Elephas maximus indicus: one gene and its partners. The protein of the gene in region 3 interacts with the protein of the main gene of each other region in a pairwise test. Links are inferred from orthologs where the notes say so. Each region holds a gene or a part of one and is shown on either strand. Other genes may lie near its edges. The genes, in order: RXRG, CAGE1 and MPPED2.

Region 1 (7,214 bases), on a different chromosome or scaffold from region 3:
ATTGTGGTTATTGGTCAAAATTTAAAAAAATTTAAGACCAGAGGTAAAGCCACTTAGTTTGATCACCAGGGTAAATATAAGCTATTGGCTGGGTCTGTCAAAACTACCCGTGAAAATTCATCCCCTTTTTATTTACTCAGGAGCACTAACGGCTTTAATAAAAGCAGAACGTGTCATTTAAGAGGAAAAGATAATCAGCCTTGACGAGAAGTGAGCCAAGAATCCTTATAAATGAATTAGCTGATTCCAACTATGGACATTGAGCATTTGGTTTTTTCATTTGACATCCAAGTGAGAATTCGGTAACAGGTGGAGACACTAGAGTGGCTGAAGCCAGCGCGATTGTCTGTGAAGGGCTTAGGTTAGAAATACCAGATGGTTTGGATAATGTTGTTATATCAATAATGGTCTTAGACAAGACACAGTGGTGCCAAGCAAAAAAAAAAAAAAAAAACTTGGATGGAAGAGAAAAGTCACATTCATTTCTCTTGAATTTTAGGCAAAGTTTTTGTTTTGTGACTGGGATGTTAAACCACACGGGACGGTATCACAGGGAAAGCAGCCTGAGGTGTCTTGTATATTATAAGCTTATCAATCATTTTTTAATGTAAAAATATTTATTAAGCACCTACTGTGTGTTCTAGCCTTTATGTGGGAAAATAAAGACATGTAATATACAAACACTACCTTTGAAGAGTTAGCAATCGTGTTATGAAGACAAGATATACTCAAAACTCAAAGGAAAGGTATATAACAGTTCAGTCCCACTGCACTGGGGATGCCTCAGGTCATATGTTGCAGGTGTCATCTGAACACACTGGGCAATGAGTTGTGTCAGACTGAGGCTAGGGTGAGATCTTTGTGGTCATGGTGGCAACTGAGCTGGGACTTGAGTGATAGGTAAGAATTTGACAGGTAGGAGAAGGTAAACAGGCGTGCACAATGAACCAGAGGTTGGAGTGAGCATTCCATGGTCTCACAGTGAATGAAACAGCCAGGCCAGAGGGGGCAATCAAAGGAAGCAAGAAAAGAAGAAAACATTAATTTCTTGTATTTGTATAGAATTTTAGTGTGCAAAAAACACATATCCAACTTGTATCACTTATGATTCACACACACATACACACACACACACACACACTCACACGAAGAGACATCTCAGTGGGGGAGGCAGCCTGGGTATTTTCCCCAGAGGTTAAACGAGCTTGCCCAAGGTCGCACAACTGGAGAGTAGCAGAGCTGTATGTAGCCTGGGTCTATGATTGCTGCCCCAGAGTGCTTTCCTCTACATGAGCTCAAAGGTGGGTGGAGACATGATGGTGAGGCCTTTTCATGCCAGGTTTAGTAATCTGCATTTTATTCTGTCTGGAGATAAAGAAGTAGACAATGTACCTAACTTAGCAAAAAGGGAAGAAAGGAGAATCTGCCACAAACCACCAACAAACATATCATCATTGACCTAGGACAAAATCCTAGAACGGGTTTTTTTAAAGGGTAGTCTTTGAATACTTGGAAGAACCCTTGCCAGCATGGGTTCACCAAGAAGCCAGTTGTGTTGAGATAACTCCTTTCGTTCTGTGATAGGTGTACCAGACTTAGAGAAAAATGTAGTTGGTACATCGGCAAGGCATTTGCTTCATATACCTCAGGGAGAAAATGGACAGTTATAGAATGGATGGTGAACTAGTTTGCATTAAATTTTGAAGTTAAAGAAGATGTTAGAACTCATCTAGCTCTGCTCTATCATTTTGCAAATGAGAAAAAGGAAATAAGAAGTAGTGACTTGCTTAAGTTTACGTCATCATCGAAATAACTTACACATATCAAACATTTACTGTATATTTGGCATATTTCTAAGTGATTAACATGTGTTGACACATTTAATCCTCACAATAATCCTGTAAGTTCACTGAGGCCCAGGGAGATGCAGTAACTTGCCAATATCACAAGGCTCTAAGCAATATGGGACTGGAATTTGCACCCAGTGGGGCTGACTCCTGTGTGGGTGCTTTCCCTACAGATGTAGCCCCTCCAGGCCAGGTAACTAGTCAGTGGCAGAGCAAAGTGCCAAAGGTGCTAATGAATAGAGTTTCTAGCGTGCATGCTATAAGATATCTTGCTATGCCCTTTTCAACATTTTTATCAGTGACTTGGATAAGCTATGGACTACAGTTCATCAGATTTGCAGAAGTCATGAAATGGGGGGAAGCAAAAGAAATACACTGGATGACACAAGTAAGATCCCCAAAGATCTGGGATGATGAATGAATTAAAGTTTTCATTTCAGAGGAATATAAGAAGACATTGCATATCAGCCCCCAGAGCATTTGGCCAAGAATGGGCTGAGGAATATGTATAATAAGGAACACAAATGGAGGGGGGTTTGTCAAGTTAGTTCCACATGAATTAACATGTGGGACTGCCCCAAAACTAATACCAGTGAGTGGTCCTCTCTACCTTGACACTCTGAGAACTCAGCAACCAGCCAAGGGAGCCTGGGTGCTCCAAGGTCCTTCACAGCAATGGCCTGGGCCTTTCTTCCTACTCCTGGCCTGCTCTTGCTCTGGCCCCCACATTGGTCCCCTCCTCCTCTTCCAGCCTGACCTTGCTTCTGCTTCTTAGTTTTTGCCTGGGGTTTCCTAGTATTGAATCTTGACTTTTTCCTATGGGGCCCCAATTTGACTTGTCTCTCGGGTTCTCTGTGTACCATACGGCATCAGAAGAAAACCTCTCAGTCTGCTTCAGCCCCACAGAGCTGAGTCCCTGACATTGACCCTTGGAGAGTGTGCTAAGAGCACCCTCATGGCCCTGCTGACACATATACCGTGAGGAGAAGACTTGTACCGTGTCTGGAGTATTACATCCAGGCCTGCCATCCCCCCACCCCACCATGAAGGTATTTAGTAAATTGAAGTACATTCATAGGAAAAGGATAGGTTGTGAATAGACTTGGATCTTCTGTGATACATGGAATGATTGAAGCTGCAATGACCCGGGAGATCGCACTATGAAAGACTCCATGGGCTTCTCAGTTTAGACCAGTGGGCAGAAACTTTAGGGAAAAAGGGCAGATTTCAGCTCAATAAAAAAATAGGTGCATGGTAACAGCTGTTTGGAGATGGAATGGGGTAGTAGTGGGGTCCCCCTACTAGAAGTGTTCAAGCATATGCTGAGTAGTGGCTTCACAGACATAAACATCAAGGGGCGCTTAGGCTATTTCATCTGTGGGTTGGTTCCATCCAAGAGTCTCCGGGTCAGTGACAAGCCAGCGGTGCCTTTTAAAGAGGTGGCACAATGACAATGGTGTATAAGGCAGATGTGTCCCTCCAGGGAAACATCACAGAATGACCACCACATGGAGCCAACACCTCCTCCCTACCTTTAAGTGTCCCATATGGGTGAGTTCGGGCTCCCACCACACTTGTTTGGGCTTCATTGTTAGGACACAGACAAACTCTTCCAGCCACTAAGGCAGGCAGGAGAGGCCCATCCCAAATGTGAGGGCCATTCTATTTTGGTTTTCGGTAGCTGAGGATTGGTCTCACACTTCTGTAATCTCCTGCTTATGAAAGGGCTTTGTTCTCTCTTGGTCCCCACCCCCACCCCCTTTCAACAGATCAAATACCAAGTGCATTGGACAGATAGACGCCCGAGTGAGAAAATGCATTTTAATAAACCCCCATTGATTTTTGTGGGTGCGAGTCAAGGAAAAGTCACCTAAAGACTCTTCCATCCCCTGCTACCTCCCCCCGCCCCTCCTGACCCACTCCGGGGCGGTCATACATCGATTGGCTTCCTAGATAATAGATTGTGCCACTGGTAGGGACCTCCGGGGACCAGCCAGGAGCTGGAAGAGTTGCACGCATCCAGCCCAGCCCTGAGTTAATCTAACTAGCAACAGGATCTCCAGCGGCGGCGGTGGCGGTGGCGGCAGCAGCATTATGCGTGATTACTGACAGGCACCAGCTGCTGCTGCCACAGCCGTCTCGAACGCACTATGTGGACTCTCAGATCTAGAGGCAGATTCCTGACTAATCCCAGAGGGCTGGCCCAGCCTCTGTTCCTGGGGCTGCTAGGAAGCGATGACCACTCTTGTTAGCCCAAGTTGAAGAGAGTCCAGCTTTGCCTGGGAGCGGGGAGAAGCTGTGATATTTAGAAGACAGACAAGAGAGAAATATGAACTGAAGAGTAAACATGTATGGAAATTATTCTCACTTCATGAAGTTTCCCACCGGCTTTGGTGGTAAGTATCTCACTCGGACTTCACTGTGTGGACCGGTCTGGAAAGACGGAGAGGAAATTGGGTAACTGGATTAGTGTTGAATTAAAAGGGGAGAATATACGTTTATTTGCATATATAGTGCTTCTCTGTGTGAGAGTCTGTGTCTATGCACAGAGAGAGAGAGAGGGAGAGAGGGCTGGGGCAGGAAAGTGGGTTCTGTAGGTGAGGTTGTGCTTTTCTGCAAAGGCGAGTGAACAGAAAAAGGAATATCTAAGGACAGTGCCTTAGCCAACATACTGAGAATGTCTGAGACAAAGATAGACTAAGAACATTGTTATAACCCAGTGTGTTGGTGTGGGCATGAAAAGTGGAGGAGTTAAAGAGAAATTACCATGCTTTGCCTATTATTCAACTTGTAATGGAAAAAAATGTGATCAGAAAGGTTTTATCTATATGAAGGGTCTCTGGGATACTTCGTAACAAGAGTTTTTTTTTTAATTTAAAAGCAGCTTTCCATATAATTGGATTTGTAAAAAGAAAACATAGCACTTTAATTTGCCAGGAGGGTTTTCTTTCCTCTGTTTTCTTCCTTTTGATTTGCTAATAGCCTCTTTTCCCCAACTCTGCTGTTGACCCCAATTCCAAAGCAAGGGCTCCTGCTATCATTTCCATTCTGGGGTTGGGATCTGGATGGACAGGAGTCTGGGGTCTTATAACAGAGAGCTGATAAACGGATGATGCAAGTCGTCAAGCCAGGCAAGGCAGTCCAGTCATCCTTCAGAGAGGCTTCCGGTTCCAGAGACTGGGTCCTCAGACTGCCTTCACGCCCAGGCAGATCAGCCAGAAGGATCCCTCCATTCAGTGATAGGAACAGTGCAAGCAGGCATCCAGCTTTGAGTAAATGGACAAACAGCTGACCAACTGGCCTCTCACTTGTCAGTTGGTGGCATGTAGCTTGTATTCTTGGAGCCAAAGGGCAGCTTTTGCCCTGTGGATGTTGGCAGACAGGACAAGACAGAAATTCCCGTAAGGTCTTGAGAACTGCAAAGTCTCTGCTCCTCTGACCTTCTCAGCGGACAGATAGCCAATTCATCTGAAGGCTTGGGTGTGAAGGCTGCCTGCTTTGCTGGGCAGAACACTTGGTGGGGCACGGCAGAATATTGCAAGGTGGACGAGGCCCCCTGCCTGGAGGTGTCTGGCCAGGTGGTTTGGTCATTCATTGGGTAGTTTTTGTGAGCCAAGTGTAGTGCTAAGTGCTAGAAATACAATATGAATGAGACACAGTCCCTGCTCTTGGCCAGGGGAGGTTGGTTAAATACATTTTAATACTGTAAGGTGCATGCTATATATATAAAACATATATAGAGAGAGAGAGTCGCTATGAGTCGGAGTCGGAATTGACTCAATGGTACTGGGTTTTTGTAGTGCATGCTACCTGGAAGGTGTGAGGAGGGAGCTACCTGGACACAGGGGAGGGGCCCCACGGGAAGGTTCCTGAAGAGGTAATGTTTAAGTTATTTGGCCCAGTCTGGTGATGTGGCCGAGGGAGAGTGGTGGCCAGTAGTGTGACCTGGACATTGGTTCATAATTGGGACCTGGGTGTGAAAATCCTTCTCAGCTCCCATCTCTGCCCCATTCATAGATTTGAGAATCACTTTTCCTTCCGAGTTCAGTTGACTGAAGAACGTGCTTATCCTTGGCCAGATTCTCGGGACCCCTGAGCTCTTGAAGGATATGGCTTTGTTAATGCCAAGGAGGCCCTTTGAGACAAGGTTGACGGTGGAAGATGTACGAAGAGAGCTAAGATATAGACTAGAGAAAGAGGCTTAAAATTCTACCGGGACTGCTGCTGAAATTTCGGAATGTTAGCACCCTAAGGGGCCTGAAGGAGCTTCTTAGAACTCTTGTTTTATATATGTGTAAAACTGAAGCCTAATGGAAGGCAGGGACTAGTCCAAAGATACGTGACCTTGAGTGGTCGAGCCTTCCTGGAGAAGCCCCTGACTCAGATCTGTGATAGTATTGCTGTAATCTGATATGGTGAGCATAAGAGAGAGAGGGGGAAACAGAGAAGACAGACAGAGATGGAACAAGTGAGCTGAGTTTGGCTGAGTTGAGCCAACTGCATGACCTTAGGCAAGATACTGAACCTCTGTGGGCCAAGCCTCAGTTTTTAATCTCTAAAATGGGGTGTATAATCTCATTTTTAGATAATAATTGAGAATTAAATGACTAGCCTGTGAAAAAGCAGCTACTCTGGTATGGTCTATCTACTGTACTTAGTATTTCATAAAAGTTAATACTTTCATCCTTCCATTTTGCTCAGATACTAACACGCAAACTAATTAAAAATCAGACATTATTGTTGAAAAATGAACTAGGAATCTGGGAAAATAAAATTAAACCCGTTCTCTCTGGCTTAAATTCCCATAATTGTAGGAGCCGTGTATTTAGTGTAATTAGGTTTCAGATAGAAGGAAACATAACTGTGCAGCCAGGGAAGAACAAAGTCCATGTAACATTGGGGACAGAGGGGAAAGGGCCATCTAGGTTGTTTAGATGTCTCTCTGGAATGTTACTTTTCCTTGTCGTTCCTGAGGGAAGAAAACGATTATTTTTGTTTCGTTCTGTTGATGTTTTCCATTTTGTTTGTAAGTGCCAGTTAAGAGAAGGCTGAAACACAGCCAGAAGACTCCTCCTCCATCTGCAGGGAACCCTGTCTGTCCAGGACCAGAGACTTGCAGTGATGAGGGAGGGTGGGAGTAGGGGGGCCCACCTGCAGGCACGGTGAAATCTGAGGATTGGTGTACAGGTCACCTGCAGCTTTGACTTGCCTTTGCCCCAGCGCAGCGAATTATGCTGCCCTTATTAAATGATTTGGTGTAGAACCCCTACCCATAATTATCTTAGCAAATGGAACCACCGAGGACCCCTGTGATTTGCGTGACGATCTCCAGAGGAACCAGCGTCACCCTTTGGAAATAATACCTGG
Region 2 (8,057 bases), on a different chromosome or scaffold from region 3:
GGCACTGGGAAAACCAGACCCTCTATTCTCTCCTTCCACCCCCTTATGCCTCCACTGGAAATTCTTCTATTGTTCCTTATATTGTTGAAAAAATTTTCATATGGAAGATAACATGAATGCTGAATGCATCTGCAGCTCCCAGAATCTACGAACAAAGCACACCTGAGGCAGGTCTGAAGCAGTACTGCTGGTTTCCAAGCAAAAGGGAGAATCTGAATAAGGAAAGTCTTGAGAAAGACTGCTGACATTCATGGCTTCTGCTTCCATCATACTTTCTAATTTTCTTGAGAAGTATCCACTTCAAAATGTACAGGATCTGAAGGTGATAACCAAAATTCTTGACAGTCCTTGTTCCTAAATGCTGAATGATGGAAAGGCCTCTTTAAAAAGGAGTTTTAATGCCTATTAGGATATGCAAACAAAAAGATATTTTTCCCAACCTTCTTCATGTTAAGAAAGCAGCAAAGTTTACAGCCCCAAATTTTAAAATGTCATTTGTCAAGTTAATGGAGAAATTAAAAATTTTAGTCTGAGTATATCATGGTAACTGCACTAGTAAATACTGCTTTGGACAAAAACAAGTTAACTCCCTAAAAAGCTTGGAACCCAGAAGGTGAAGGGATTCCTCAGTTATTTAAACAAAAACTACTTACAGAATATTATCAGAGATCTATTGTTGTTGTTAGGTGCCGTCGAGCCAATTTTCAATTCATAGTGACCCCATGTGATAGAACACAACTGCCCTGTTGAGTCTTCTAGGCTGTAATCTTTATAGGAGCGGATCACCAGGTCTTTCTCCCACAGAGCTGTTGAGCAGGTTCAAACCGCTAAGTGAATGCTTAACCCTTGTGCTACCAGGGCTTCATTAGGATCCACTAAACACTGTTTTTATTTATTTGATACTTTCTATCTCATTATCAAGTCAAATCTAACACTGCAAATCAGTTTTCCCTCCTCCTTTCCTATTCTCTCAGGCACCTGGGCTTGAAAGTTTGGAGATGGCTGTCACTGACATCCCTCTACATCTATCAAATTGACAGGACTTGGTAACTGAATAGTATCATCCCCAGCTATTCAGAACGAACAAATCTGTCTTGGAAGAAGGACAACCAGAATGCTCCTTAGAAGCAAGGATGGTGAGACTGCATCTTACATACTTTGGACATGTTGTCAGGAGGGATCAGTCCCTGGAGAAGGACATCATGCTTGACAAAGTACAGGGTCAGCAGAAAAGAGGAAGACCGACACAGTGGCTGCAACAATGGGCTCAAGCATAACGATTTTAAGGATGGTGCAGGACCAGGCACTGTTTCGTTCTGTTGTGCATAGGGTCGCTATGACTTGGAACTGACTCAATGGCACCTTATAACAACGATGGGTGTTCAGATACGGAGTCCTGTCAAATTCTCCTTTTAAAATTTCCTTGTGACCTCCTCAGGTCTGCCAGAAGGATGCCCAGTCACACCGAGTCCAATTCTTCTGCTTGGCTTTCTAGGCCTTTCATAACCTGGGCCCACGTTACCTACCCAGTACTCACTCTCCTTTTTTAGTTAGTTCAGGCTCATTTCCCTGTACTACATCATGCTTCTTATCATGTCAGTAATCTGCCCTGGCATGTGTCTCTCTCCTCCCAAATCGTTCCCAACTACCCAAGTTCTCATTCATCTATTTCTTTCAATTCCTTCATGTCTTCAATACGTATCTCACAATTCAGCACCTATCTGTTCACTTTTTTCATCCTCACCACCTTTTTGAATGCTGGTATTTACAAATTATAAGCACCTTGAGTCTATTTATGATTTTTCAATACTACCTACAGCAAACCAACCACTGTTGCCCACACAGTAAATACAGATTCAATAAATCCTCCACTCCGATTTATTTCTATTAAGTCCTCTTCATCTGTAGTCACTACTCATTTGCCTGGATTACTCAATTTGTTGAAGGCTGTTTTCAAATCTACGGCATCATTTGGTAAAATGTAAAAGACAACAAGCCAAGCAATCTAGTCAGGACTGATGAAAGGTCCAACTTTATGCCTATCTTCTGGACACATAAAAGCTACTGGGTTGTGGGAAAATGAAAAACCCAAAACCATTGCCATTAAGTTGATGCCGACTCACAGTCACCCTATAGAACAGAGTAGAACTGTCCCACAGAGTTTCTAAGGGGTGCCTGGTGGATCTGAACTGCTCTCCTTTCCCGTTAGCAGCTGTAGCTCTTAACCACTATACCACCAGGGTTGTGGGGAAGGAGCCTGAAAAACCCCTGTTTTATTTTCCAAATGCAAAAGAGGAAAGGATCTTATTTCTCAAAATTTTTTGTTTGTGAACTCAGAACTTCTAATTACACTTTTACAAATTTGTTTACTTCTCACATGGCACTGCACAATCTGTTTTTTTTTTTTTTTAATTAAACTACTTTTTCCATTTCTGATTTCTGTCCTTACCAGCTTTCTTGTTCGATGTAAAAACATTTATCCAAATGTATGGGCAGATATTCCAGACATTCTAACGCTGTTTTAAGACAGGCTTTAAAAGAAGTGTCATAGAGTTACTGGCAAAAATTTCGGATTTTCTAAATTTTTTGCAATCATAGGACTGCATTAACTTCTAAATCACTTATGACATTCTCACCTCAAAACAACGCACTAAACGTTTTAAGTCACAAAGGTGTTCTCACTTCCAGGTTCCATATAGCCTCCTGGATCTACAATAGGGATTTTGAGCTTCCTCCCTCCACACTGCGTGTTGTAGGAGGGAGGACACGTCTCAACCTTTTCCACTGATGGCTTTTAAAAACTTGCAGTTGGGATCCAGGCGTGTTGGAACAAGCCTGCTGTGACGTCCGCCCGAGCCCGACTAATGTCGTCAGGGAGAGGCTTTTGTCAGGCTCCGACGCCTTCGGTCCTGTCCCCGCGAGCGACGCCTCCCGCAGAGTTCTGAGTTAGGTGAGTACGACCCCCAGACCCAACAACCCGTTGCTCACATCTTTCTGCAGGAAGAAACACAAAGTGGGGTGCAGAAACGAGGTGCCTGCACGGGATTAGCTTGGACCAGCTTCTCAGTACGTTCACCTGACTTCCAGCGTTCTCCCACAACCGCTCCGTCGGGAGGCAACTGCTGATAATCAGCCCGGCCCACGGGCGAGACTTCCGGTCGGGCTGGCTTCCTGGAGTCCGTCCTTCCTATGTGGGCGGGGCTTCCGGTTGGGGAGGTTCGGGGTACTCGGGCGGTGGGTCCCGGTTGCTCACAGCACGTGGCGTGCGGCTTTGGCGTAGGGACTTCTGGAAGGCGTGAGAGGCGATAATCCGCGGAGAGGTCGTTGACTCGGCAGCCGGTGATGCGGTTCCTCTTCTAGCCTAGGCCGAGCGGCTTCCGGTGTTGCTGGGCGCTCGCCGCGTTTCCGTCATGGACTACCGGCGGCTGTTGATGAGCCGGGTGGTCCCGGGGCAGTTCGACGATGCGGAGTCCTCTGACAGGTGGACACATTGGCTTTGTTCAGATTTTGCTCTCTCCTCTTTCGCCCCTTGACGGGAGTTGACTTTTTTTCTGTGTGTTAGGGGGAGACTCAAGGCCAGGTATTCCGTCCCTGTTTATGGCGGGTTTAATGAAAGCCACTTGCTAAGTGGGTCTAGGGTTCCCAGGCTGGTAAGCGTCGCTGAGAGGCAGAGTTGAGGATAGAGGATGGCAAACCGGCTTTTGTGCTCTAACTACATTCAGCGTCCAAAAGATACTGATTGAACACCTGCTTTGTACCAGGGCCTGTCCTGGACGCTGAGGATAGTGACGAACAAGAAAATCAAGTCCTCACCGTCGTGGTACTTTACCTCCTACTTGGGGGCAGGGGATGAAATGTGGGGAGAGGCGAGTACATAGAGATTTTACAAAAGCAGATTATGGTGTACCCTGTGTGGATAATTCACATAGGCTGTTACAGTAAATTATGGCTGAATGGTCAAAGGAGGAGTAAGTACGAATCTCAGTGACAAAAAGGAGTTAGCCATGAGAAGAGCAGGGTGCACAGCATTTCAGGCAGAAGAGACAGCAAGTGCAAAGGCCCAGCTATGAGATCCCCCTTATTGTTAAATGATTATCAAGAAGCCAGAGTGGTGAGGAGTCCCTGCGTGGTGCAAAGGTTAATGCACTTGGCTGCTGGCTGAAAGGTTGGAGGTTTGAGTCCACCTAGAGGCACCTCAGAAGAAAGGCCTGGTGATCTACGTTGGAAAAATCAGCCATGGAAAACCCTATTCCTCTGAAACTTACCCTGAGATAACCTTTAATCCAAAAAATTATCCCCTGAAGTCTTAAAACCAAATTATACTCTTTAAGGACTATCTGTATGGGATCAAATTGACAACAGTAACTTGAAAGATTAGATAGGACCCTTAGAGGGCAGTAAGTTTGTGTTAATGTGGGAGGAACAGCTCAGAAAAGGAGGGTGAAAATGATTGCACAACTCAAAGAATGTAATGGATGTCATTGAATTGTACCTGTAGAAACAGATTGGTGTATCTTGCTGAGTATATTCTCATTAGGAACAACAACAACAAAATAAAGTTAAAACAAACACTGTGGGGCAGTTCTGCTCTTTCTCATGGGGTTGCTATCAGTTGGAATCAATGGCACCCAACAACCTAACATTCTTTTTTGTTAACTTATATAGTGACTGAAAAGAGACCAATTCAAAGATGATAAAGTAATCTGGTTCAAAGATGATGTTAGCTAGGGCCACAGGGATATGTTTTGGAGGTAGAGGTGACAGGGTTTGGCAGTAGATTGAATATGAGGTACTTAAAAACAAAATGAAACATTTTATGGAGTTATTTTGGAATTAAAAAAATGATTTTTGCTTCATTTATTCATAAAAATTCGTTATGTGTAGATTTTATTAATCCACTGGGAACCTTTTTTCAGTAAATATATGTCAAATGCTTTTTATGTATCTTATCTAAGTGTTGTCATATCTAGTGTTGTTAGTTGCCATTGAGTTGATTCTGACTCATGGTGACCCCATGTGTTACAGAGTAAAACTGCTTCATAGGGTTTTCTTGTCTGTAATGTTAATGGAAGCAGATCACCAGGCCTTTTCTTCCGTAGTACTGCCGAGTGAGTTTGAACTGCCAATTTTTAGGTTCACAGTGGCGCACAGGGATAAATTGGTAAACAAGACTATCCTGGTCAACACAGAACTTAATGCAGCAGGGAAGCATATTAAAATTAGACAAATTAGTTTGCTAGAATCGTGTGAGTACTACAAAGGAGAAATGGGTGAAGACTAGGGAAGACTTCCCAGAGCAAGTAAGCCAACACTGGAAGATTGAGTACGGTTTAGCCAGGAAAATGGAAGGGGCATTCCAGATTTAGTTTACAGTCATGGACAGAAGTCCTTAGGGAAGAAGGGAAATGGGCAGAAGCAGCACAGCCAGTGTGGCTGGTGAGTAGTTGATGGTAATCAGAGTTCACTGGTTTACCATTCATACTGAATGTCGTGAGGGTAAACCCGTGGCCCTCTACCAGGATGATTTGCCCTGAGGGGACTTTTAGCAATCTGGAGGTATTTTTGGTTGTCACAACTGGCTACTGGTGTCTGGCAGGGAGAGGCCAGGGATGCTGCTAAACACCCTAAAATGCACAAGATAACCTGCCACAAAGAATTATCTGGCCAAGGTTGAGAAGCTCTGGTACAAATGAAGCTATCAGTTTAATATGTCATTCTAGGTTATTGGCAATTTATTCCTAAATTTTATCAGAAAGACCCTCCCCCGCCCCACCTTAAAACAGCTCTGTGAATGATTTTCCTAGAGTTGAGTTCTAGTGTACAAAATCAGTCAATATACTTATCAGAGAAAATAAAAATATAAATTCTAACTTCACTGAAGCAGAAGTGGATTTAACACTTGATGTACTCCTTCCCTAGTAGGACTTGGGTGTGGAGAATAAGCAGACAACTGTAACAGAACTATAAAAAAACAGGAGAGTTTGGTATAAAGGAGGTGGGGCTTATTGGGAGACAATGTTGTAAGGAGACCTTGTAAATATCAGTATTGTATCATAAATAATTGTGTATGTGAGTTCAGTTATAGCATGTGTAAACATGCCAAAACATTGTTATTTCTAGTGAAAAAGAGGAAGATGGTGTTCCACTTGAAGACCTTCAAAATAAGGGTGAAGATGAGATAGAAGAGGAGGAGGAGGAGGAGGATTATGACGACGATGATGACTGGGACTGGAACGATAGAGTTGGGAAACTCACAAAGTGTTATGCGTCCAATAGAGGGAATAACCCACAGGTATTTTATAAACGGTCCTACACATCTTTAGCTTGTCTTATGTCTTTTTTTAAAAAGATTTTCTTCGAGGTCTTCTCATTCATTGATGTGGCTCTCAAGTGAGTAGCTGATTTTCCACAGATTGTATTGTCCTTTTTATTTTTTGTCCTTTCTGTATTTCTGATAGTTTCCTGATTGTGGATTCTTTACATAATTAATTTAAAAAGTTATTTAATGTATAATAAAATGAAGAGTTTAAAAATGTGTAGGAAAAGACACAGATAGGCAGTTTACTAAAAGTGGTTGAGAAACATGAAAAAATTTGAACCTCATTAGTTATTAAAGAACTGCAGATTGAATGTGTAGAGAAACCTTTGTTTTCCTATCTGTGAAACTGACAGTGACACAAAATATGTCAATTGATGATCAAGTAAATAAGTACAGTGTGATAAAAGGTTATAAACCCTTTGACTCAGCAGTTCTTCTATGGGGCAAACGGGTTAAATTTACTCTGAGACTGATCATTCATGCAGTGGGATATTACAGTTCTAAGACACGTTGCCATTGAAGACTTAATGACATGGACATATGTTCATGATCTGTCATCATCTACCATGCACAGAAGCCTCGTAACCAAACCATCTAGAGCCTGCTTCTCAAGCCAGAAGGACTAAGTGTGTCAGGGGTTTCAGAGCCAGAGGGTTGTTAGGGTGCATCTTCCTGGAGCATAAAGGTTACTCAAAGATATGGAGGGAAAAACACCAATATTTCCTTGATCTTAAAACAGCTTTATCAGGGACTAGAATGCATGAATTTTAAAAATAAAGTTCCAACTTGTGGTCTTGTTTTGGTAATCCCTCTGTTGATTTCTGATGAGACTGAGTAATTTCATAATAGAGTATAATCCCTTTAAAAAAAAAAAGCTAGAAAAATGACTAGAAGTATATATGTTTGTTAACTATTTGTGCGCTACAATTATAGACATTAAAAAAAATTTTTTTTGCTTGTGTTTTCTACCATGAACATATTTTAATTTTAGAATTATGTTAATAGTTAAATTTAATACAGATTTTTTTTTTTTTAAGTTCTGTACGAAAAAGAAAACTCAATCAGCCTCAAGAGTTCCATGCTGAGATAACAGGATTGAATCAATAGTTGTTTTAGGCCGTTTTTACTTAGGGGTTCTGATGTTGTCTCCACTTTCTTCTGTTTCTGCTGTTATTTTGGTTCATGTATAGCACCAGTGTAAGTGCTGAAGCCTTGCTCTTCCTCTTTCCTTTTCCCATGCTAGTCCACAGTAAAATTCTTAGAGCCAGTTTAATGTTGGTCTTAACTCTATTATATACTGGGGGGTGGGGGAAGTGTGGGTGAGGGGGGTGTAAATGAGTGTTCTTTGTTTTAAATCTATAAACGAGTCGAATCAGAAAAATGCATTTAATTTTAACTTGTTATTTATAATAATGAGGAGCACACTGTGGATAAGGAAAAAACCCCAGATTATGCACACTCTTTGTTCTAGCCAGTAACTTCAAACTATTTCAAATGCCTTTTTAAAAAAACCTTAAGCAACTTAGACTGACTCTTACCTTTCCTAGGGTACTCCAAAGTATTGATGCTTTAATAGCTAAATGTGGTTTTTATTTACAGCTGTTGCTTAGACTCTGTAACGATTTCTTTTAGGCAAATCGACAGACTTCTAACTACAGTTCTGCCAAAATGTCTACTCCAGCAGACAAGGTCTTACGAAAATTTGAGAATAAAATTAATCTGGGTGAGTTTATAAAAT
Region 3 (7,809 bases):
TGATAAAATTTTAGGGTCTGCTTGTTCCAATGAAGTTATATTAATGACGTTTTCTAACAGCGTTGTGTTTATTTGATGCTGCAGTTCTTTGTGAGAAGATGCAATTCCAAAAGGGGAGTGTAGAATAGAAAGGAGTTGACTTGGAAATACAGGCAAGCTGGAATGTGAATGGAATGTGAGTAAGAAAGGAAGTCTGTTGTCCAGTATGGCTCTCAGCCTCTCTGGCTAGGTACAACCAAGCCTTCAGCCTACATTTCAAGATTCTGGTCTTCTTTATTTTTATTATGTAAAATTTATTCAAATCATTTGAATCCATTCATGTCTCTCCATGTTTTGACTTCTCCGAAGTGTACCATCAGGAAGGCTACCATCATCACCACCCTGGTGCAACAACTGTGCATTCACTCTAGTTCCCTAAAATCCATTCTTCACGCTGGGAAGGATTGACCTTTTCAAAACACAAATCTAATCATGTTACCCTTTCTACTTAAGATCCTTAAACAGCTTCCCTTTGCCCTCAGGATAAAGTGAAACATCTTGAACAGGGCCTTAGCTGTGACCTTCAAATGTCTTTAACGTGGCCCTACGGTCTGGCTTCTACCTACAGACCCAGACCCATGCCTCTCACACCAGGCATTTCCTCACCCTCAGCATTCCGGCCACACTGGCTTCCTTTATCTGATGACATCCTTGTCTTTGTTTCCTCCATTTTCTTTGCACTGGTTGCCCCTTGTTTTCACAGATTATAATGTTTCCTTTGTGCCAGTTGCCTCTTCTTTTCATAGATACAATTTTCATTTTTTTGTTTTATTTATCTGTGAGTCTCTCCCCATCCCTGTTAGATTATAACCTCCGAATGGTGAGAACGAAATACCTGCTTTTTGCATCATTAGACCATCGGCATGGTGTAAGGCACAGTGCCCGGCACAGAGCAGAGCTTAAAACATTTGTCGAATAATCGAATCTTTATACTAATACTGTGAGAAACGAGTTTTAGATTCTGGTGGCCTCTCAATTTCAATTTTTAAAAATTGTATTCATTCATTTATTTTTCCTTAGAAGGAAAATCACATTATATATCGTTTACTCGAAATATTGATATATCTTATGCTAGCTTGTCAAATTGAATTATTAAACTGGAAAACCCCCACATACATTTTCTTTAATCAGGTTATTATGGGTTTTTTACACTGCCCATTATTCAATTGCAATTACTTTGGCTTTTATTTCAGTGAGAATGCCTTTTCCCCCATGACAAGCCTATCCAAAAAAAAAAAAAAAAAAAAAATCCAAGGACCAGTAAATTTTACTATTTCTCCAAAATTAGGAGCACAAGGTGGGGGAAGACTCGGCAAGCATTAATTGATAACAGAGACTGCGCAAGTCTGTTAGGATGGGAATCAAAACTAAAAACACTAACTTATGCTAGCCATCTTGCTCAGACTTTTAAAATTAATTATTGTGAGAATAACAGTTGCCTGATTTAGTGATACATGCTAGACTTTGGCTACCAAGTATGGTAAAAATTAGTGAGTGTTCTACAAAATTTTAAGATTTCCATCCCCTCCTTGCTTATTATCTAAGCTGCCTGCAAAGCCGGATTAAATCTAACATTTCTAAGATAACGCCTTTAAAATTTATTTCATGAAATAAAATTCCATTAGTTCTAGTGCAAAGGTCCTGAATCATTCTTAGTCATGAACATTTTTTATTGGTTAGCAGGAGGAAATTGTAAATACAATGATCAAAAAATATTATTTATATATTTATATTGAGGGCTTACAAAAGGATCTATCAAAGAATCGGGTTAATCACTTTAGTTTCTTTTGAGTAGTTATCGTGACACATTATTCCTGTAAGTGTTAAGGTACAAATTTTACTCAGAATTCTTTCTTTTATTTTTGGTGGGCGGGGGGGGGGGGGCGGAATCCTACCGTATTTAAAAAGAAGACTTCTTTTAAATGTGCATGATAGACACCAATCCTGTTTCCCTAAGGGAAAATTAATTTCTGAAACTTAGTCTTATGTATTATTTTATATTTCTAAAGACATTAGCAAACCCTTTAAAACTTACTATTTTAGCGACATGGAAGTCCTTAGCTCTTCTCCTCCAACCCTGGCCTCATGACATCACTTCCTTCCTTGCATACCTGGTGTGAACTTCCCTTTACTATCTATTTGTCTCATTCACTCATGCATTCTCTCATTTATTAACCATCCCTACTATGTGCAAGGGATGTAAGGATGAGAGACACAAAGGAATGGAGGACATGGTTCTTGAACTTGAGGGGGTTACAGTGAAAACATTTTAAACAAGTCAAGAATGTAAAAACTGTAGGAATTCAGAATAAAGGAAAGGTGTTTGTTCAATCAGGCTTTTTCTAACTGCATTACAATACTAGTAGTTCTATTCAGAGGCTCTGATTTCTGATAATATACTTTTAACCTTTGCTGTAAAATGATAAAAGATGCAACTTAAAAAAAAAAGTGGTAAAAATAGTCACTGTTCCTAGAATTAGATTGGTATAATTTCAATGAAGTTTTCAACAAAATACAATAATTTCTATAAATTTTTTTAAAGAAGAAACACAGGACCGAGCTAAGTTTTACACTGCAAACGTGTCCTTGAAGCTTCTGGAAACCCTGCTCTCATAGGGAAGACGAAAGCCAACTCCAAATAAAGTATTGAGTTTGCAAGGGAAGTTAGCATTCACTTATTCAAGCTTCCACCCAAAGTTCTCCCACAATCCTTTCTCTGTTTCTTCCCTAAATGTACTTTTTTTTTTTTAGAAGGTACTACAGTGGGCTATCAGGAATCAAATTTCCCAGTTCCTTCCATGAAATTACTGGAGAAAGCGTTCAGTTTTACAGTCCGTTAAAGGAAAACAATTTGTAATATTTGCGTAGAGACTGTGATAAACTTGGTATTTGCTTTTTGTGCAATAAAAGTTGAATTTAACAATGACAGCGACAAAAAAATAATGGAACTCAGAGGCTCATTTACCTTAAAATAATATAAAACAAGCCTTAGCTATGGCATTTAAAATTTGGTATAATGAAGCTACGTTTCAAAGTTGATGTCAGGGGACAGACATGGTTAACATCCAATCATTTTAAAACAAGCTTTTAGGGTAAAACCCAACCAACCCAGTGCTGTATTTATGGAGGACGTGATTTAACAAAATGTAATCTGTTCAAACCCAAGTAATGAGAATTATTTGAAAAGTGAGCTTTTGTCCCTGCTTTATTATTTAAATTTACTTACATTTCTCCAGCTTCTTTGTTTTAGTAGCCTAATAGAAATAAAAATTCATAACCCAAATACAGGTCAGCCACTACTTCCCCCAGTGGATAATTGCTCCATCAGCAGGGACAGAGTGGGGGTTGATTTCTTCCTTCACCGCAAGTTACAATTTTAAGCCTCTTTGTCCCAATTTTCCCCCACTCAGTAAAATGGCTTGAAATTTTGTATCGAGTTTATAAAGGGTCACTCCTTTGATTTTTAAAGCGTTAAATATCCTGTAAAATGTGCCCCTCAAGTACAAAGTATTATTATTTGTTGTCTGCATGGACGTACTCGGACTCAGGATCATAATACAATCTAATTTAGCTGGTTCGATTGACTACCAGTTGGTTTAAAAAAAAAAAGGAAAAAAATAAACACGAAAATTATTTGATCATGATTTTTTGACTGACCAAATCAGCCCAGATCAGTCTAAAAATGAAAGCCATTTAGATAAGAGAAGTGTACTGCTAACTCATAAAGAGAAACAAAACCAAGCATTTTTTCAAAAACATGGTTCCAGTTAGGGCTTGTTGCTGGGCTGGAAAACAAAAGAAAACAAAATATAATGATGTCTCCCTCAATAATCTTTGGCATCCTTTAATGTTGCTTGCTGTGATTTGTGCTGGGCCAGGAAAGTCACTGGCCTCTCAGTCCCAGTATATTTGACAAGTACTGACACTTTGGGCTTGCTGTACAATAAAATAAATACATTAATAAAGCCATTTCCCCCTTCATTTCATCCCATGCATAAGAGACAGGTTACTTAAAATTCAAGTGCTAGGAAAGCCCATTATAAAAGGGAAATAATTTCAGGTGAATTCCGTTTGATCTTTTTTTTTTATAGGGGTTCCTACCAACCTCACTCCTGTCCTCCCCAGACCCTGGCAACCAATTAGTCTCAACACAGAGGCCACAGGCCAGGTTGAAATGTCTCCTTTTTTAGGGGGCTTCCCTCCAGAGAGTGCCTAGATCTTTGAGTTTGACTCCTGGAAAGGAATCAGATCTGGTTGCCGTCCAAACCCTTCAGCACTGACAATGGCATAACATCACAGGGCCACCTCATCTTCCACAGAAAGCCCTGCAGTCCAAGTTTTCTAAAAGCCTTCTCTTCCTTGTCGCCTAGCATTTCAGCAGTTCTTCCCTTCCGTGTTGTTTGCATGCAATTCTGAAAATCTTTTCTTCTATTTTGCAAAGTAGCAGGGAAAAGTGGACAAACTTTGATTTAAAAGATTTTTTTGAAATGCTTATCTTTTGGGGGAAAATCCGTCCAAAGGACAAAAAATGAAGACGGTTAGAGTGTCCCTCTCCTCACCTGGCAATCCCGAACCATGGAGGTGAAAAAAATTATCAGCTAGATTGGCCTTTTCTTTCTTAGGAACAACATTGCAGAGAGAAAGAGGGGTGGGTGTGTGTGTGTGTGTGTGTGTGTGCGCGCGTCTGACGCGCTGAAAGGCTTGGGGAAAGGAAGCGCAGCTCTCCCCCAGGAAAGCCTCAGGTCAGCAGATGGAAGGAGGCCTGGGGTCGCCGTCCGTGGTCGAAAGGCAGTGCCCGAGCCATTCCCCATTACCCCGGCGGCTAGCTCTGCGCTCTGGAGCAGTGCCAGGACTCCTGACAGCGCCCGGCAGGTCGGTGGGTGGGGGGCTTGGGCGTTCTCTTTGCAGAAGACGCCCATTTGGAGGGAAAACTCCCTTTATTTTCCTGGAGTTCCGTAGTCTCCCATCCCCATCATTTTTAGGCTGATCATACTCATGATGATGAACTTGCAGCTCAGCTTCCTGCCGCCTGCTTGACCCGGAGCACCAGCAGGCTGCTTGCCTCGCCCTCAGCTTCCTCCTCCAGTCTCAACTCCAGGGCCTCGGGGCGCCTGTAGGGGTTCAAGCGGGCCGGAGTTGCAGAAGGGGCTCGCGGGGGCGCGGGGTCCCGCTGGGGAGCGCGCACGGAGCGGCGCCTCGGCCGCCCTGCTTCCTGAAGCTGTGCTCCTTTGACCCCAGGGGCAGTCCCTGTCACTGCACCGCTCGCGCTCCCTCCAGCTCGCCGCGCCCTCGCTCCCTCTCCTCGCCCCCTCGCTCGCTCTCTCCCCAGATCGAGGCTGCTCCAGTCCTTTCTCCCCCGCCTCCCTCTAGCGCCGCTGCCCCCCGCCCCCCTGCCCCCGTCCGCGGCAGGACCTCGGGGGTCGAAGGTTCTGGCCCGCCCGCGCCCTTGCCGCCCCCGCGCGCCCTACGCGCGCCTCCCGCCTGCTCGGGTCGCTCGGCGATGGATCGCCTGCTCGCTGGGCGCTGAAGGCATCCCCGGGACCCGGAGCGCAGCCCGGGAAAGGTAATCCGCCCCGGGAAGGGAGGCGGGGGAGGGGGAGGAGGCGGCCCAGCGCCCGGTGCAGAGCGCGAGAGGAAGGGAAAAAAATGCACACACAAAGCGGAGCCCGGGTGAGAGGTGCCTTGTCAGAGGCGCGTGCGAGGGGCTCGGCGGCTACGGACCGCGGCTGCCCCATGCCCCTGACATTCGCCCTGGAGGGCGCCCCCCAGACAATTCGGCCGCGCGCCGGGACCCGGGGAGGGTTGATTTCCAACCCCCGAGCGAAAGAGAATTATTTTTTGGAAGCTGTCTTCCTTCCTACTCCCCATCTTGCCCCTCTTCTTTCTCCCCTCCCCCCAGACCTCGGCCCCCGACCTCTCGGGGTCCCACCTCACCGCCTCCTCTTCCGTCAGGATTTCCGAGGAGGGGAGGAGGGGGTGTCGGCGGGAGGCAGCAGCGAAAGCCGGGCGGCGGGGATGGCGGTGGGGACGAGGGCTCGACGAGCTGTTTACTACAAAGTCTCGGGGTGATGTGTTCAAGCCGCCCCGGCCTAGGCCCGGGTGCATTGTGTTGGCCCGAGCCCCGGGCGCCCGCGGCAGCCCGCTGCGAGGTGCGGTGGCCGGGAAGGCGCCGTGCAGCTTTGTGCTCCGGCTGCGCCCCGCGGCTGTCCCCGGGGCCGCCTGCGCGCGCGCCGCCGGGGCGCGGGGCTTTTTCTCACCGTGTCCCCCGCCCCAACCTCGCGCTCCGCCGCCGCCTCCGGTTTCCACGAACGCAGCCTGCGGAGAGAGCCGGCGACGCGGGTTGAGGCTCGGCTGGGCGGCGGAGACGAGGAGCGAGAAAAAGTAACCGTTGACGCCCGATTTCTTCTATACCGAGGCAGGAGTTTCTTTGCCATTTACATGTAACAGGGTTATCTTCTCAAAGCCTTTGAATTCTGGGGTTTTGCGGCCTAGGAGGTTGAAGGGGGACATTTTTCTGGAGATCAAGGAGGTGGGGGTTGAAATCCATCTGCAAGACAAGAAATTAAGATGCCCTAGTGGGGTCAATTTATAACTCACCCGCCCCCACTTTTCCCCAACACACACCCCATATTAAGTGCAAACAGGGTCATGAAAAATGTGTAATTGATTTGAGATGCAGAGAACCAATAAACACTAACAGGTCAGGGCGGAAAAAACAAACAAAACTTTAAGTGAAAGAAAAGATTTCCAAAGGGGGGGGTCAAAAATCCGTGGCCTCCACTCCCCCTTCCAAGGCTCGCTGGCTCCCTTTCTTCCTTTCTCCGCGGCCCGGGGAAAGGAGCCCGGCAGCTCCGGGGCAGAGAACAGGCAGGAGGCGGCAGCGGCTCTGTGCTCCGGTGCGGCTCTGGGGGCTCGGGGACGCCGGCTCTGGGGGCTCGGGGATGCCAACGCGCCCGGAGGCTGAAGTCTGGGCAGTGGCGTTGTGATGCCCCAGCAAGGATGGGGCGGTGTCAGAGCCATTGGCCGCCGGTGGTCATCAATCAATCCTGGGCTTGGGTAGAGGGAGAGAAAGAAAGACAGGCGCCCAGCGGAGCCCGGGGCAGCGAGCGCAAGAGCCAGCAGTGCCAGCAGCGGCTGCAGCGGAGGCGACGGCGGCAACGGGGGACTAAACAAGGGACTAAACGAGTAAGGCGAGCTGGTGCTCCAGGAAGGAAGGGGGAGCTATGGCCCGGGCGAGCCGACCGTGAGCCCAGAGGGCAGGGCGTGTGTGTGTGTGTGTGTGTGTGTAGTCACTGAAGCTCCCCTTATCCCCTTCAACTGCCCAGCCTAGATTTAAAACAAACAAACCAATCCAAAGTAGAGAATTCCGCGCCCCCCCGCCCCACCATATATAGACACCACACGTTGCCAGAGGCGCGGGAGAAAAGTCTTGCCCTTCCTCTTTGAAAGAATGTGCCAGCTGGGTGTCCGCAGTGCTGGAGACAAGTTCAGGTGTAAGTGCGGCGCTAGGCAGGGCGCTCTGTGGCAGAGACACGTGGAACTTTGTGTGAGCATCCTTGGAAAAGCCTGACGGAGAGAAGCCGGGAAGGCGTGTGGGCATCGCTCTGGAATGTAGGGATGAGTAACTGGAGGTGGGCAAGGAAAAAAAAAAAAAAAAAACTGAGCAGGGGGCGTGAGTTGGGGAAGCACTCCGTCTGTGCGGCAGAAGGAGAAGAGTGAAGAATTTGGCGGAGTTGGGACTTGCGGGTTCCAAAGTCCCGTCAGGCTGTC

What was found.
Region 1: the proteins of MPPED2 (region 3) and RXRG interact in binary tests that used the Homo sapiens proteins (3 or more experiments, as listed by UniProt). The two-hybrid records come from large-scale screens. The link is inferred for Elephas maximus indicus from reciprocal best matches to the Homo sapiens genes MPPED2 and RXRG.
Region 2: the proteins of MPPED2 (region 3) and CAGE1 interact in binary tests that used the Homo sapiens proteins (3 or more experiments, as listed by UniProt). The two-hybrid records come from large-scale screens. The link is inferred for Elephas maximus indicus from reciprocal best matches to the Homo sapiens genes MPPED2 and CAGE1.

Annotation. Positions count from the first base shown.
Region 1 is NC_064821.1:205,835,544-205,842,757, reverse strand, and holds the start of RXRG (retinoic acid receptor RXR-gamma), read left to right. Parts: upstream 1-4,193; 5' UTR 4,194-4,194; coding exon 4,195-4,243; intron 4,244-7,214. UniProt on the Homo sapiens protein: Receptor for retinoic acid. Retinoic acid receptors bind as heterodimers to their target response elements in response to their ligands, all-trans or 9-cis retinoic acid, and regulate gene expression in various biological processes.
Region 2 is NC_064819.1:49,665,329-49,673,385, forward strand, and holds the start of CAGE1 (cancer-associated gene 1 protein), read right to left. Parts: upstream 3,083-8,057; 5' UTR 2,637-3,082; intron 362-2,636; 5' UTR 271-361; coding exon 163-270; intron 1-162. Other genes in the region: RIOK1 (serine/threonine-protein kinase RIO1), read left to right, coding at 3,411-3,481, 6,121-6,292, 7,952-8,042.
Region 3 is NC_064825.1:85,685,605-85,693,413, reverse strand, and holds the start of MPPED2 (metallophosphoesterase MPPED2), read left to right. Parts: upstream 1-4,743; 5' UTR 4,744-4,911; intron 4,912-4,958; exon of another isoform or gene 4,959-5,602; intron 5,603-5,687; exon of another isoform or gene 5,688-5,709; intron 5,710-5,723; exon of another isoform or gene 5,724-7,224; intron 7,225-7,246; exon of another isoform or gene 7,247-7,532; intron 7,533-7,809. UniProt on the Homo sapiens protein: Displays low metallophosphoesterase activity (in vitro). May play a role in the development of the nervous system.